Coturnix japonica: one gene and its partners. The protein of the gene in region 2 interacts with the protein of the main gene of each other region in a pairwise test. Links are inferred from orthologs where the notes say so. Each region holds a gene or a part of one and is shown on either strand. Other genes may lie near its edges.

Region 1 (4,195 bases), on a different chromosome or scaffold from region 2:
ATGGGCAGGTAGGCAGTGGCGGATGGTGGGATCAGGTAGAAGGGCAGGCACAAGGGGGGCTGGTGGGCGTGGGGGGGCAGGAAGCCGCCCGCAGTGCCCATCACCTCGTTGCCAAAGGGGCTGTCGTCATCAGGCACCTCCAGCCTGCTCCTCTTGGCCGGAGGGTCCTCGCTCTCTTGCTTGATGGAGCTGATCCTCTCCTGGACGGCGTATTTCAGTTCGGTATCCTTTGGGAAATAGGGCTGCTCCGGTTTGGAGTCGTTTTTCTCCAGCTCCCCCCCATAGCCGCTGTCCGTGTCTGTGTCGCTGCCGCTCTGCTCCCCGCTGGAGGCAGCGAATGTCCTTTGGATGACGGGCACACAGTTCTGCCCGCGCCCCTCGCCCGCTTTGCCCCCCGGCACCGTCTTCTCCTTCAGGTCCTTGGGGCTGCCCGGCAGCAGCTCGGCCGCCACGCGGTGCAGGTGCCCCACCAGCTGCGCTGCCTTCAGCTCCTTGTTGTCGTGCTTGGCCACGTACTGCAGCAGCTCCTTGGCGCACAGCTGGAAGCCAGAGCGGAACATCTCCTGGCTGGAGTCGAGGTTCCTCGCGGACAGGTCACCTGAGGAAACATTAACAGGGAGAAATTAAAAATTAACAGCACGCCAAATACTTCCATCACCACCTCCAGGCTGACAGCACGCGTCCGGTACAACACAGCCAGCACAGCAAACTCAGTGGCCAACCTGAGTTCCCACAACTTATGCGCCAGAATCCAACCTGCTACTTTCACATCCCTCCATTCACTTCTACCCGTGCCCTTCATCTTTCAATTCTGCATTTGGCACTTCCACTGGGGAACAAGCAGACAGTGCATCCCACACCCAGCAGGACCCCTCAATGCCACGCTGTGCCCCCACTGCCAATGGGTCTCCCCTGGTGCTGTCCCTGCAGGGCAGTGGCACCTCGTTGGCCAAGCTCAGTTTGACTTTATCAGAGCCATGTGAATGCCACGTGTGCAAGCAGCAGGAGGAAGCAGAGGGAGCGAGCAGCCACTGTGCTGAGCCCCGTCCACCTGCAGAATGAGGGAACACAGATCTGCACACGGACAGCGGGTGTTTGTGTGCTCTGGGGGAAAAGGAAAGCGCAGAACCAGGATCCAAAGCTCATGAATGGAGAGAGCTGAACGACTTTGGAGAGGGCATCACAGCAAAGCTGCGCTTTAAATAAAACTACTTCAAATCCACTTTAAAATGAAAGCGACCGCACAGCACGCCTGGCTCCGACCCCATGGAGAGCTGCACTTGCTCTGCACAAGCAAAGCGAGAGAAACTGATGGCAATCAAAGGGCAGAGGCTCAGGCATCCCTTCCCCGCGCAGTGTCCCCGCACGCTGCACTCACGCACCTGCCTGCAGCCCGCTCTGCAGCGCCAGGATCTTCTGCTGCTGCTGCTCCGTCAGCGCCGTCAGCGCCTTCAGGTGCTTCAGGGTCAGCTCCAGCACCACCGCCTTCTCCAGGTGACCGAGGGTCTGCGGGCAGAGCACACAACGCGTTGGACGCTGCGGGGGTGGGGGTGGAAATAGGCGCTGGGAGACATTCCCACGGCAAAGGTGGGGGCGATTTGGGGCAGGGACTCGGGGGCAGCGCTGCTAATTGGGGAAGGCACAAGTCGTGCTTCCTGTGAACAGAAATATCCGGAATTTGGACGGAACACACAGAGAGCAGCCGCGGGGCAGCCCCCGGCCCCACATCCCGGGGGTATTTGGGGACGCCCAACCCCGAGCACAGCTCCGTGCCTCGGCGCTGCTGCCCCCGCCGGCATCGCGCGCTCAACGCAGGGCCGGGCCCGGAGCCCCGTTGTGCCCGTACCGTCAGCTTGAGGTGCTCGGGCAGCAGGTCCTTGAGCTGGGCGATGCACTCGTTGATCCTGTCGCGGCGCTTCTTCTCTATCAGCCTGTGGGGCAGCTTGTAGGTATCCTGTAAGGAGCGGCGGGTCAGCGCTCCGCACCCACCCTCCGTCTTTTTGCCTTCTTTCCTTTTTTTCCCCCTTCCCAAATAATCGCTAAACCCACCACGCATTCCACCCTCTGTTCTTTTTTCCTTTTCCTTTTGCTTTCCCCCCCCCTCCCCACCCAAATACTCACGCACCCCCTCCGCCCCCCACCCCGCAGCATTTCTTTTTTATTTCCCCCAGAATTACCCAGTGGAGGCCCCTTCCCCCCTTCCCGCATCACCCCACAGAAGCTCAGCTCTCTTTCTCACTCCCCCCCATCCCAACGATCGCTGACCCCCGCCCCGCACCGCCCACCCCGTTACCTTGCTGTCCTCGCTCCTCTTTAACCCCCTCCTGGGCTTGTACACTTGGTACATGTGCGCGAAGTCCAGCCTGCACGGGCGAAACGAAAGCAGCGAGGTTACCCCTGTCCCCGGGGCCGCGGCGGGGGGACGCTCTCGTGTCGTCCTGTCCCCCCCGCAGCCTTACCCCGGCACATCGGCGCTCTCCAGGGCGGGCAGTTTGCCCAGGCACACGGGCGGGGGCTGCGCGCTGGGGATGCGCTCCATGGGGGCGCGGAGCGGAGCGGTGCCGCGGGAGCCGGGAGGAGCGGAGCGGTGCGGTGCGGTGCGGAGCTCAGCGCGGGCAGCTCATGCCGCGTCCCCGCCTCGCCGGCTGAGGAGCGGAGGGAGGCGGAGGGCCGGGTTAAATGCGGCCGAGTGGGTGGACGGCGGCGACGTGCGTTACCCTGTGACTCCCGGCACGTCTGGCCGGGCTCCCCCCCCCGCTCCCTCCCTCCCTCCATCGCCGTCACATGAGGCTCACGTGTCGGCGAGCGGCGGCCTTCCTCCCCCCGCCCGCTCCGCCGTGCAACGTGCCGGGGGGGGGTGGAGGCGGGGCGGCCGGTCCGTGGCCCCGGGTGGCCCCGACCCCGGTTGCTTCCCGGCCGCCCCTCGGGCTCTGCCCCGCCGTCCCGCAGCGGAGCGGGGCAGGAGCTCGGCACCCGACTCCCGTTCTTCAACACTCCCGCGGCGCGTCGGTAATCCCCGCTGCCGGAGCCCTTTGGCTGCTCCCTTCTCTCCGAGCCGTCCCGAGGCTCGGGGTTTACTCATGACCTTAAGGGATGTTGCCAAGGATTTTGGAGTCCCCCTAAAAAGAGGATCCGAGTGGAGCGATGGCATTCCTGGGCGGCAAGTGGGATGGCGGAGAGTTGGGTTACATTGTCCTCCCTATGATCAGCTTTCATAAGCTGGGGCTGATGCAATCAGCAATTTGTCTCCGAGATTTTGTTTGCTGAATTATTTCTGCGCAGAAATGCATACATACAGGGCGTACAGAATGCAGCAAAGAGGCCAAATTTCCTGCAGTCACGGGTCTGAGGTGCTGTCCCAGGAGAGGAGCAGACAGTGCCCAGCAGTGATCTGCACTTATCTACAGACCCCCCAGAAGCCAAGGGCTCGCAGTTCGGGCTCAAGTTGTACTGAGGGCTCGGAGATGGTGATTTGGGGCAAAACACTGTGAAATCCCAACAGCAGCATCGGATAGAGCCCGTGTGGGCAGCTCGGAGTTAGCAGCTGGGCTGCGGCTTCAGCCTCACGATAAGGTTACTGCGGGTGGTTTTGTTTTAAAATGTCCCTTACTTAATATATCCACGAAGGCCAGGCATGTGCCTGTGGCCTGGAATCAGATAGCTGACTCCTCTGCTCTCTCATTTCCAGCAATCTCGTTTTGGGTTACCAGCACCGGAGGTTAAAGGACGGCCGCAGGCGAAGGTTATGCAGGGCAGCAGCGCTTCGGCTCGGCACCCAGCGGGCACCCGATGGGCATCCCCAGAGCCCTCCTACTGAACACACCCCCACCCTCCCAGCAGCCTGCAGGTGGTGACCAAAGCTCGGACTGAGCCTTGAAAACACACTGCCCAGAGCTGTGGTGCCCCATCCCTGGAGGTGCCCAAGACCATGGGTGGGCCCTGGGCAGCTTGAGCTGGGGGGCAGCCAGCCTGTGGCAGGGGTGGGGGCTGGGTGACCTGTATGGTTCCATCCAACCCAACCATTGCATTAATCTGTGATGGTGTCGGGGTACCCATTGGGAAAAGCAGTGAGAGCCAATGGCACTGAGGGTCTGCTATGAGCAGGGTGCTGGCACTGCATGGTGAGAGCCTGCAGCCCATCAGCCATGAGCTCTCTTCTGACCGAGCATGGGGATGTTTGCCAGCACCCAGCACA
Region 2 (4,121 bases):
TCATCTTCCCTGAGCGGGCATCCCAGAGCCGCACAGCCCCATCCAGGCTGCAGGTATACACCACAGCGGAGTTCTCCTCCCACAGCAACTGCACAATTCCTGACTGGGAATGAGCACGAGGAGGAATAACACTCAGTAACAGTCCCAGCACACCATCAGACTCCACTCCATCCCTCCCCATAGCAAGGGGTCAGCCCTCGTGACCAAGATGCGACACATCCTCTGTGTGGGACCACAGCTACCTCAGGGGAAGCCCACGAGCAAAGAGAAGCACGAATTGGGAACCAACCCCAGGAAAGCCCCCCCAGGCTCTAAAAGAGGCAGCGCTGGGCTACCAGAGGTGGCAGCTGGGCCCAGAGATAATGAGGTACAGGGTAGTACCTCATGTTGGCATTTGTGCCTCAAGGTCTGTGTGGAGAGATCGTAGATAGCCAGTGTACCATCCAAGTAGCCAACAGCGGCCAGTGGCATCCTGCAGAGAGGAGAATGAGTTTTATGAGGACCTGGAGTAAGCAGGGAATTAAGCGTGTGAAGGATCGGGGTTGAAGGAGCACTGAAATGAAGAGGGACAACCCAATGATCAGAGCTGGAACCACAAAACATCCCATAAGGAAAATCATCAGTGCCCCACTCACACGTTACAGAAGCCCAACGACTCCACTGAATTGGACTCTGCCTCCTCGCCCTCACTCACAGGGGCCTTGGGAGCCGCACTCTCCATCTTGAACACGCACACCACCTGGGGGAGGAACAACGTGAGTCCTCACGCCCCAACCCTCCCAGCAGCAGAGAAATGGCGGTAGTGGTGGCCAAGCACGCCTCCTGCTGGCCCCAGATGGCCATCGCATTTGGCTGGCAAAGTCCAGCGCCATCCCGATCTGGACAGGTCATCCATATCCACTACTGAGCCCCACAGGTGGGCACGGACTCACCTTGCCCGTGGCAGAGTTGACCAGCTTGGCATGACAGTCCACTGAGCCTGTCAGGATCAAACTGCCATCCTGGTTGGTGGCCACACATGTCAAGGGGTCCTGGTGGCCGTCCTGGCCTGTGGAGATTAACACGAGGAATAAGTTACGCCCATTCCTACTTAAACTCCACGCACCTCGAAGCCCAGCACACCTCACCCTGCAGTATCTGCACTGCACCCACCCCATGGTGGCATCCCCAGGGCAAGGGACGGCTGCCACGAGGACACTGCACCCAGCACCAGACTCCTGGCAGCCTCTAACCTCTGTACATGCTGCCTCTTCACCAAGGCAGAGCTCAGAGTTTGTTGCATGGGGGATGCACCCCAGGTGAAAAATCCCTTTCCCACCTTTCAGAACATGCAGTGAGGTTCCCTGTTTCAGATCCCAGATGCGCATGGTCCCATCCTCGTATCCCACCACGGCTCGTTTCCCTGGGTAAAACAGAACGAGCAGATAGAGGCAGAGCTTCCCACAGCCCTTGTCTCCCACCTCCCTGTTCCTCACCGTCAGGCAGGATCTTGCCACACGTGGCAGGGCATGCAGGGCCCTGGAAGGTTTTGCAATCTCCACTGGGGATCTTCCACATCCAGGAATTGCCATCAGCCGTGCCCGCTAGAAGGACGTGGGCCTGAGGGTGCCACTCCATCCACTGTTCAGAGAAGGGGACAGGCAGCGTCACAGGGTTGTGTCCTCACAGAAGGGAGGAGAACCAGAGCTGGGTCCCACTGTTGGCCCCCACGTTTCCATCAGGAGCAGAGCTTCAGCCACTCACCTCCAGGTCCCCCACCTCAAAGGACCACACTTCTTCCTTGGTGTCCACCCGCCACACTTTGACCAGACCAGACATGTCACCCGTGGCCACAAACACAGAGTCATGACTGAAACCGGCACAGGTGACAGAGTCCTTGTGTCCTAGAGATGGCAAAGAGTACAGACCATTCTGTTAACAAACACCAGATATGGAAAACAATCAGGAGCCCAGCTCCAGAGGAACATCAGCTGGGGAAGAGCAAGTGCTACCAAGACCCAGACTTCCTACTATGGGTCCCCTACTATGGGACCCATTTGAGCAGGGGCGCCTGGCCCCAGCCCCTCACCTGAGCACTCGAACAGCAGCTCTCCATCGCTCAGGCGCCACACGAAGGCTTTATCATCTTCCCCACCCGTCACCGCCAGCGTGTTGGTCTTTGGGTCGAGGCTGACGCAGAACACTGAGGCTGCAGAGCGGGGACATGCAAACACCACAGAGTCAAACCCCCCGACGGCACAACAGCTACTAGAGAGCCCTCAAATCCCCTTGATAGAGCCAGGAGAGGGACACAGTGCAGCTTCCCAACCCAGGGAACCCCCATGGCTCACCTGAATGCAATGAGAACGTGACCTCGCTGTCATCCTGCACCTCCATACCATCCTCCAGCCCCTCATCGTCCTCTGTCTCCCATCCTTCCCCGTCGGGCTCCTCCTCTCCTTCATCGCCGAACTCCACGTCCTCCATCTCCGCAGCCAGCTCATCTGCGGGGACCGACCGTCACCCCCCGCCCACCTCCACCCCAACGGGCATCCCCGGCCCCGCAGGCGGAGCAGGGCTGAAGGCCCCGTGGTGGGGATACACCGCGAGGCCGAGCCCCGTGTCGAGGCGGCCCGGTGCCCCGTGAGGAGGCGGGGCTCCCGTCTCACCCGGCCCTGTTGGGCCCAGCTCCACCACCTCGATGATCTCCTCGTCGCCATGGAAGTCCAACGCGCCGGGCCCCGCCGCGGGCTCCATGCCGGCCTGCCCCGCCGCCACCAACACCACTTCCGCCTTCCCCTTACAGCCAATCACAGCCCGATTTTTCACCTCCGCCCCGCCTCTTCCTCCAGCGCCACAAGGGACTTCCGCTCTCCGCGCAGTGCACTGTGGGAAATGCAGTTTTCTCTCCCTTCATATCCCTTTCTATCCCAGCGCGGCGGACTGCAGCTCCCGGCATGCAGCGGGGCCGAGGGAGCGCGGCACGGCCCAACATGGCGGCACGGCCCAACATGGCGGCGGCTGGCGGCGGACTGCGAGGTAAAGGCAGGTGGGGGGGGCGGGCAGAGGGATGGCTGTGTGTCACAGCGAGACAATACGCGGACACACACACACACACACACACACACACACACAGAGACACACAGCTACACCCGGTGCGTGAGTGGCACCATAAGACACGCCGCCATCTTGGATAGGCCATGCCCCATTTGGTTAAGCCACGCCTTTTGTTGACCACGCCCCCGTCTTGATTAAGCCACGCCCCCTCCTGGTTGGCCACGCCCCCCGTGCTGTAGCAGGGTGGGGGCAGCAGGACCCCCCGTGTCCCCCCATGTCTCCTACACGAGCCCTGTCTCCACCCAGGGCTCCTGGCAATATCCAGGCGGGGGGCTGAGGGCCGACTGAGCTGCCACCGTCCCGCAGGGCCGCCCGTGCCGCCCAAGCCAGCAGAGCCAACGGGGCGGCTCCCCGAGGGGGTGGAGTACATCCCCACGAGGAAGAAAGGCAAGAACCCCATGAAGCCGGTGGGGGTGGCCTGGTGAGTGGGGAGGCACAAGCTTGGGGGGGAGGCTCGGCACTAGGAGACACGGTGTCACGTCCCCTCCCTGTGTCCCTCCCTGTGTCCCCTCCCCGTGTCCCCAGGGCCATCGGGCTGCCGTGCGGCATCATCCTCTTCCTGCTGGTGAAGAGAGAGGTGGACAAGAACCGCCTGGAGCAGCTCCACATCCGCCGCAAGATGCTGGGAGCCAACGTGGGGGACTACGAGACGGAGCGCTACCGCCGGGACACATAGACAGGAACCACAGCAACACAAGGACTGACATGGGGACACCTCCCTCCCCGCACTCCCAGCCCAGGGCCCTGCCCGATTCACACCGGGGCCAGCTGGAAAATTAAAGTGTTTTATTGAGTATGTGTAACAATTGAGAGAGGCCAGGCCTGCAGCGGAACCAGTAAGGCCTGGCGCCTACCAGGGCTGTGCTCACGGCCGAGGCTGTGTTTAAGGCACTGAATGGAGCCCAGGCCCCCAGGCACAGCCCAGCACTGTTCCATCCCCATGGACCAGAGAGCCCCAGGGCCCAAGTGTGGGACACAGGGAACCCTTCCCTTCTAGCAGGCCACAAACTCAGGGTGCTGAAGCG
Region 3 (4,243 bases), on a different chromosome or scaffold from region 2:
GTCCCTGGGCTCCGGCATGCTCTGCACACACCGCAGCACTGCGACACCCAGCACTGTGCCCCACACCACGCTTCTCCAAGGGAGCTCCCCTTGGCATCTCCTTCCCACCTGGCTTCCCATATTCTCCCTTGCATCGGACAGTCCTTTTTGTCCCTCTGTAACTCTTCCTCCCTCTGCACTGTGGGGTGAGCGCAGTCCTCTGCTAAGCCATGGTCAGTGGGATTGAGGGGCACTCACGTGGTCCAATTTAAAGCAATTCTGACTTGGATGGAGACAAAGGTTGCTGCTGTTCACCTGCTGACCTGTAAAACCAGAAGAGAAATGCTTTTCTTCTCCTCTCCAAATGCCCCTCGTACTATCACCAAGGCTCCTGTGTGAGCAAAGAGGGCAAAGCACACACACCCTGCAAAGCACAGAGCCTGGGAAGGGGCTGGCTGAGCATAGACTGCAGAGATGGATGGTGATACTGGGGGAAAATAAGGCTGAGTGGCCCCTGTATACAACAGTGATATCCCATCAGCCACCCCACTGACAGGGATCCCAGTGCTCCAGCCTCAACAAGGGATCCAGCAGCAGAGCATATGGTGCTATGGGGTGAACACAGAGCTGAGAGAGCCCAGGAGCTCCAAGCCATGAATGCACAAGGAAAAATTAAATGGTGGTTTCAATTTTACCTTTCCAACCAGGCAGATCAGAGAAGGCAGTGCAGAGGGTGAGGACACTCACCCTGCATCCCCACGACGGTGGCTGACATCTGCATGGCGGTGATGGGATGATGATGGCCGCGATGCCCTGTGGAAGACTAGTGATTTTGTTGTTGTATGGCTCATCCCACCACAACAAGTCACAGTCTGCCTTAGGGCGCACGGTCCCTGCGGCGCTTCAAGAGCCTCCCCAGCCCCACGGTGAGGATGAGGACGGTGGTTGGGCTGCTCCTGGATCCATCTCCCACTTCTGATCACCTCGGACGTTGCTTTGATGCAAACCCAGAGCAAAGCAACGAGAGGTCGGTCTGAAACAACACTGCGGCTGCAGATGGAGCTGCCCTATTCACCCAACACTGGGAATGTGAATGGAAACCCCAAGGATGTGTGTCCCACATCACAGCTCTGATACCATCCCCACCAGCAGCTCCCTGCACTACAGCCCTATGGTCAGGGTACATATAGGGCACCCTATAACCAAAATGAAGCACAGGGTTGGGTTAGAAGGGGCTCTAAAGTCAAGTTGCAATCCCCTGCTGTGCATTGCATGGCACCCAGATGCCAGGGTCTCATCTGATGCACCACCAGAATGGGGCATCAAAGCACTTTATAGCCGCAGGACCCTATAGGCGCCCTACAGGCAAAGCATCCGCATTACACTCACGCCACGCCGCCATATTAGCGGGAGGTGTTAGCCCCGCCCCTTCGCGGTGACGCACCAATCACACCGCCCCTATACGAATCAATCTTCATGCACAACCAATAGGAAAGAAGAGGGGGCGTGGCCACGTCAGAACTTGTCCAGGCATGTGAAAGCGGCTACTTCCGGGACGGACACGTGGGAGCTGTGCCGGGCTGCGGAGGGTGAGGGGGATATAGGCCGGGAATAGGGGGGGATATGGGTATGGGTATGGGTATGGGTATGGGTATGGGTATGGGAAATGGGGCTGACAACGGTCTGGGATTGGCTAAAGGGGCAGATAGGGGCTTGGGGTTGGGTAATGAGGAGGGTAGGGCCTGGCAATAGGCAAACAGGGCATTGGGGGTTGTGCTGTAACAAGGATCCCATTGGGTCAGGGAGGGACAGTGTGTATGGAAACGGGACTTAGTGTAATCAGGGAGCAGGCCCATTCTGGGGGTTCAGGGCACTCACTGCTCTGTGCTGCCCGCAGATATGGCTCCAGGAAAAGGCCAGATGACGGTATTGCTGCCCCCCAAAGCTTCTGTGCCCGTCCCAAAGCGCACCCACGGTCCTGCAGGACCTCCCAGCCCCAAAATGACACCGCAGGGTCCTGGCAGCAAGAAGAGGAGCCGGAAACACCAGCGCTTCATGGAGCGGAGGGCGCTGCTGGAGAGGAGGGGGCTGCTGAGACCACACCGACGGGTGGGCACGCAGGGACCCCCGGGTGGGCTCAGCAGTGTGACAACACGTGGCTCGAAGGTCTCCAGGCCGGGGCTCTCTGTGTCACCATCTGCCTCCCCAGATGGCACTATGGGCCGCTGCTCTGGGACGTCCACAGGTAACAGCATCACAGCCATCCAGCCGTGCCTCCCACGTTCCAAGAAGTATGTGGCTATGGACTGTGAGATGGTGGGCACAGGACCCCGGGGCAGGCAGAGCGAGCTGGCACGCTGCTCCATCGTCAGCTATGATGGTGATGTCATCTATGACAAATACGTCCTGCCCCTGCTGCCCATCGTGGACTTTCGTACCCGCTGGAGCGGCATCACCAAGAGGCACATGGAGAGCGCCATCCCCTTCCGTGCTGCACAGGAGGAGGTGAGGTCCTGGCACTGCGAGAGTTAAGGGCTGACAGTTGGGTTTGTGACAGCCTTGCACAGTGAGTCTGCTGTGTGATTTCATAGAGTCATTAAGGTTGGAAGCGTTCACTAAGATCATCCAGTCCACCCCAAACCACTCCCCCCTATGCCCACTAACCACATCCCTCAGTGTCCCATCTCCACTGTCCTGTAACACCTCCAGGGCTGGTGACTCCACCACCTCCCTGGGCAGCTGTGCCAATGTATCACTGCTCTTTCTGAGAAGAACATGAGCTCAGTAATGGGGCTCACTTGTTGCTTCTCATTCCTTGGAAACTGAAAAAGTAAACCTGGGTGCAAAGTGGTTTATTCTATAAAGTGCTTCATCTAACCCGTCTGATGCTTCCAGATCTTGAAGATCCTGAAGGACAAGATTGTGGTTGGGCACGCCATCCACAATGACTTCCAGGCCCTGAAGTACTTCCACCCAAAGGAGAGGACACGGGACACCAGTCGTATCCCACTGCTCAACCAGAGGGCCGGGCTGCCCCCTGGGGCCAATGCTTCTCTTAAGAGCCTGGCCAGACACCTGCTGCAGAAGAAGATCCAGGTGAGTCCCACAGACCTTGCGGGGAGGTGGAGAGTCCCAGTTTGTACAAGTTTATATGGCCAGCCTGGCCCTGTGTTGGTGTGGGGAGGCAGAGACAGTTGCATACATCCCTTGGTGAAGAGATATGAAGAGATACACTCACCTGCTAGATCTGTCCAGTGTTGCATCCAAACCCTCAATTCTTGTTCTTAAGACAAGCCAAGAGTTAGACTCGATGGTCTTTATGATCCCTTCCAACATGGGATATTCTGTGATGATGTTTTGTTCTATGATTCTAAGTGCTGTGGGTTATTTTTGACAGCCGCTTTCCCTAACGGTGCTTCTCCCCTTCATTCAGGTGGGCTGCACAGGGCATTCATCAGTGGAGGATGCGCAGACGGCCATGGAGCTGTACAGACTGGTGGAGGTGCCATGGGAGGCAGAACTGGCTCTCAGCCAACCCCCCCGACCCCCCAGCCCCACAGACCCCGTCACCGACAGCCACCAGTACATGGATGACCAGTACTGGCCCCAGGACCTGATGGTGGGCACCCCGTGACCAGGGACTGCGCTCTGTCCATAGTGTTGGGGACATCCCTGTGCCTTCACCTCTGAGGTGTGGAGGGACACGTGGGGTCCTGGTGCCACCCTGGAGGAGCACAGAGGTGGAATGGGGCTCTTAGGGCACCTGATGCCCTCCAAGGTTTGCCCTCCCTGGTATCATCTTGCTGCTAATAGTGGGAGGGCTGAGGCGAGTGGTTTATCTGAAGGGTCTGTGGTCCATGCTGCACATTGTGGCCCTGTGACAGCAGTTCAGACCTGTTGTGCTGCTGCCTGATTGCTGCAGAGCATCTGGGGCTGATGTTACACCACCATTTTCCTCCCTGGATTCTTTGCACAGTGAAGCCTGTAAAGGAAATCCAGGTCTATAATCAGTTTCTATATCCTGTGGACAAACGGCTTAGAATGCACTTTGTCATATTGGTCCAATTCTGGATTAAAAATGATTATTGCAAAAGCTTTCCATGTGTGTTGGTGTGATCGAGTGCTGTGTTCCAGCACTTCAAGCTCACCTGACTGGCTCTTTGGGGGCCTGATGGTGGCTGGGATAGACAAGTCCTGGTGCTTGGTTCCATGGGGATGGTTCCCCTCTGCTCCAATACATCACAAGGACATTGCAATGGGATCA

The links. The genes of interacting proteins can lie anywhere in the genome.
Region 1: the proteins of AAMP (region 2) and BHLHE40 interact in a two-hybrid assay, tested with the Homo sapiens proteins (2 studies listed by BioGRID and IntAct). The link is inferred for Coturnix japonica from reciprocal best matches to the Homo sapiens genes AAMP and BHLHE40.
Region 3: the proteins of AAMP (region 2) and AEN interact in binary tests that used the Homo sapiens proteins (3 or more experiments, as listed by UniProt). The link is inferred for Coturnix japonica from reciprocal best matches to the Homo sapiens genes AAMP and AEN.

What each region holds. Positions count from the first base shown.
Region 1 is NC_029527.1:15,937,538-15,941,732, reverse strand, and holds the start of BHLHE40 (class E basic helix-loop-helix protein 40), read right to left. Parts: upstream 2,801-4,195; 5' UTR 2,540-2,800; coding exon 2,460-2,539; intron 2,364-2,459; coding exon 2,294-2,363; intron 1,955-2,293; coding exon 1,847-1,954; intron 1,507-1,846; coding exon 1,383-1,506; intron 599-1,382; coding exon 1-598. UniProt on the Homo sapiens protein: Transcriptional repressor involved in the regulation of the circadian rhythm by negatively regulating the activity of the clock genes and clock-controlled genes.
Region 2 is NC_029522.1:24,182,363-24,186,483, forward strand, and holds the start of AAMP (angio-associated migratory cell protein), read right to left. Parts: upstream 2,801-4,121; 5' UTR 2,737-2,800; coding exon 2,649-2,736; intron 2,484-2,648; coding exon 2,331-2,483; intron 2,189-2,330; coding exon 2,069-2,188; intron 1,884-2,068; coding exon 1,744-1,883; intron 1,621-1,743; coding exon 1,476-1,620; intron 1,403-1,475; coding exon 1,319-1,402; intron 1,049-1,318; coding exon 933-1,048; intron 740-932; coding exon 636-739; intron 473-635; coding exon 382-472; intron 104-381; coding exon 1-103. Other genes in the region: probable hydrolase PNKD, read left to right, coding at 2,937-3,018, 3,343-3,517, 3,622-3,730. UniProt on the Homo sapiens protein: Plays a role in angiogenesis and cell migration. In smooth muscle cell migration, may act through the RhoA pathway.
Region 3 is NC_029525.1:11,789,218-11,793,460, reverse strand, and holds AEN (apoptosis-enhancing nuclease), read left to right. Parts: upstream 1-1,443; 5' UTR 1,444-1,568; intron 1,569-1,876; 5' UTR 1,877-1,878; coding exon 1,879-2,484; intron 2,485-2,874; coding exon 2,875-3,075; intron 3,076-3,412; coding exon 3,413-3,613; 3' UTR 3,614-4,076; downstream 4,077-4,243. UniProt on the Homo sapiens protein: Exonuclease with activity against single- and double-stranded DNA and RNA. Mediates p53-induced apoptosis.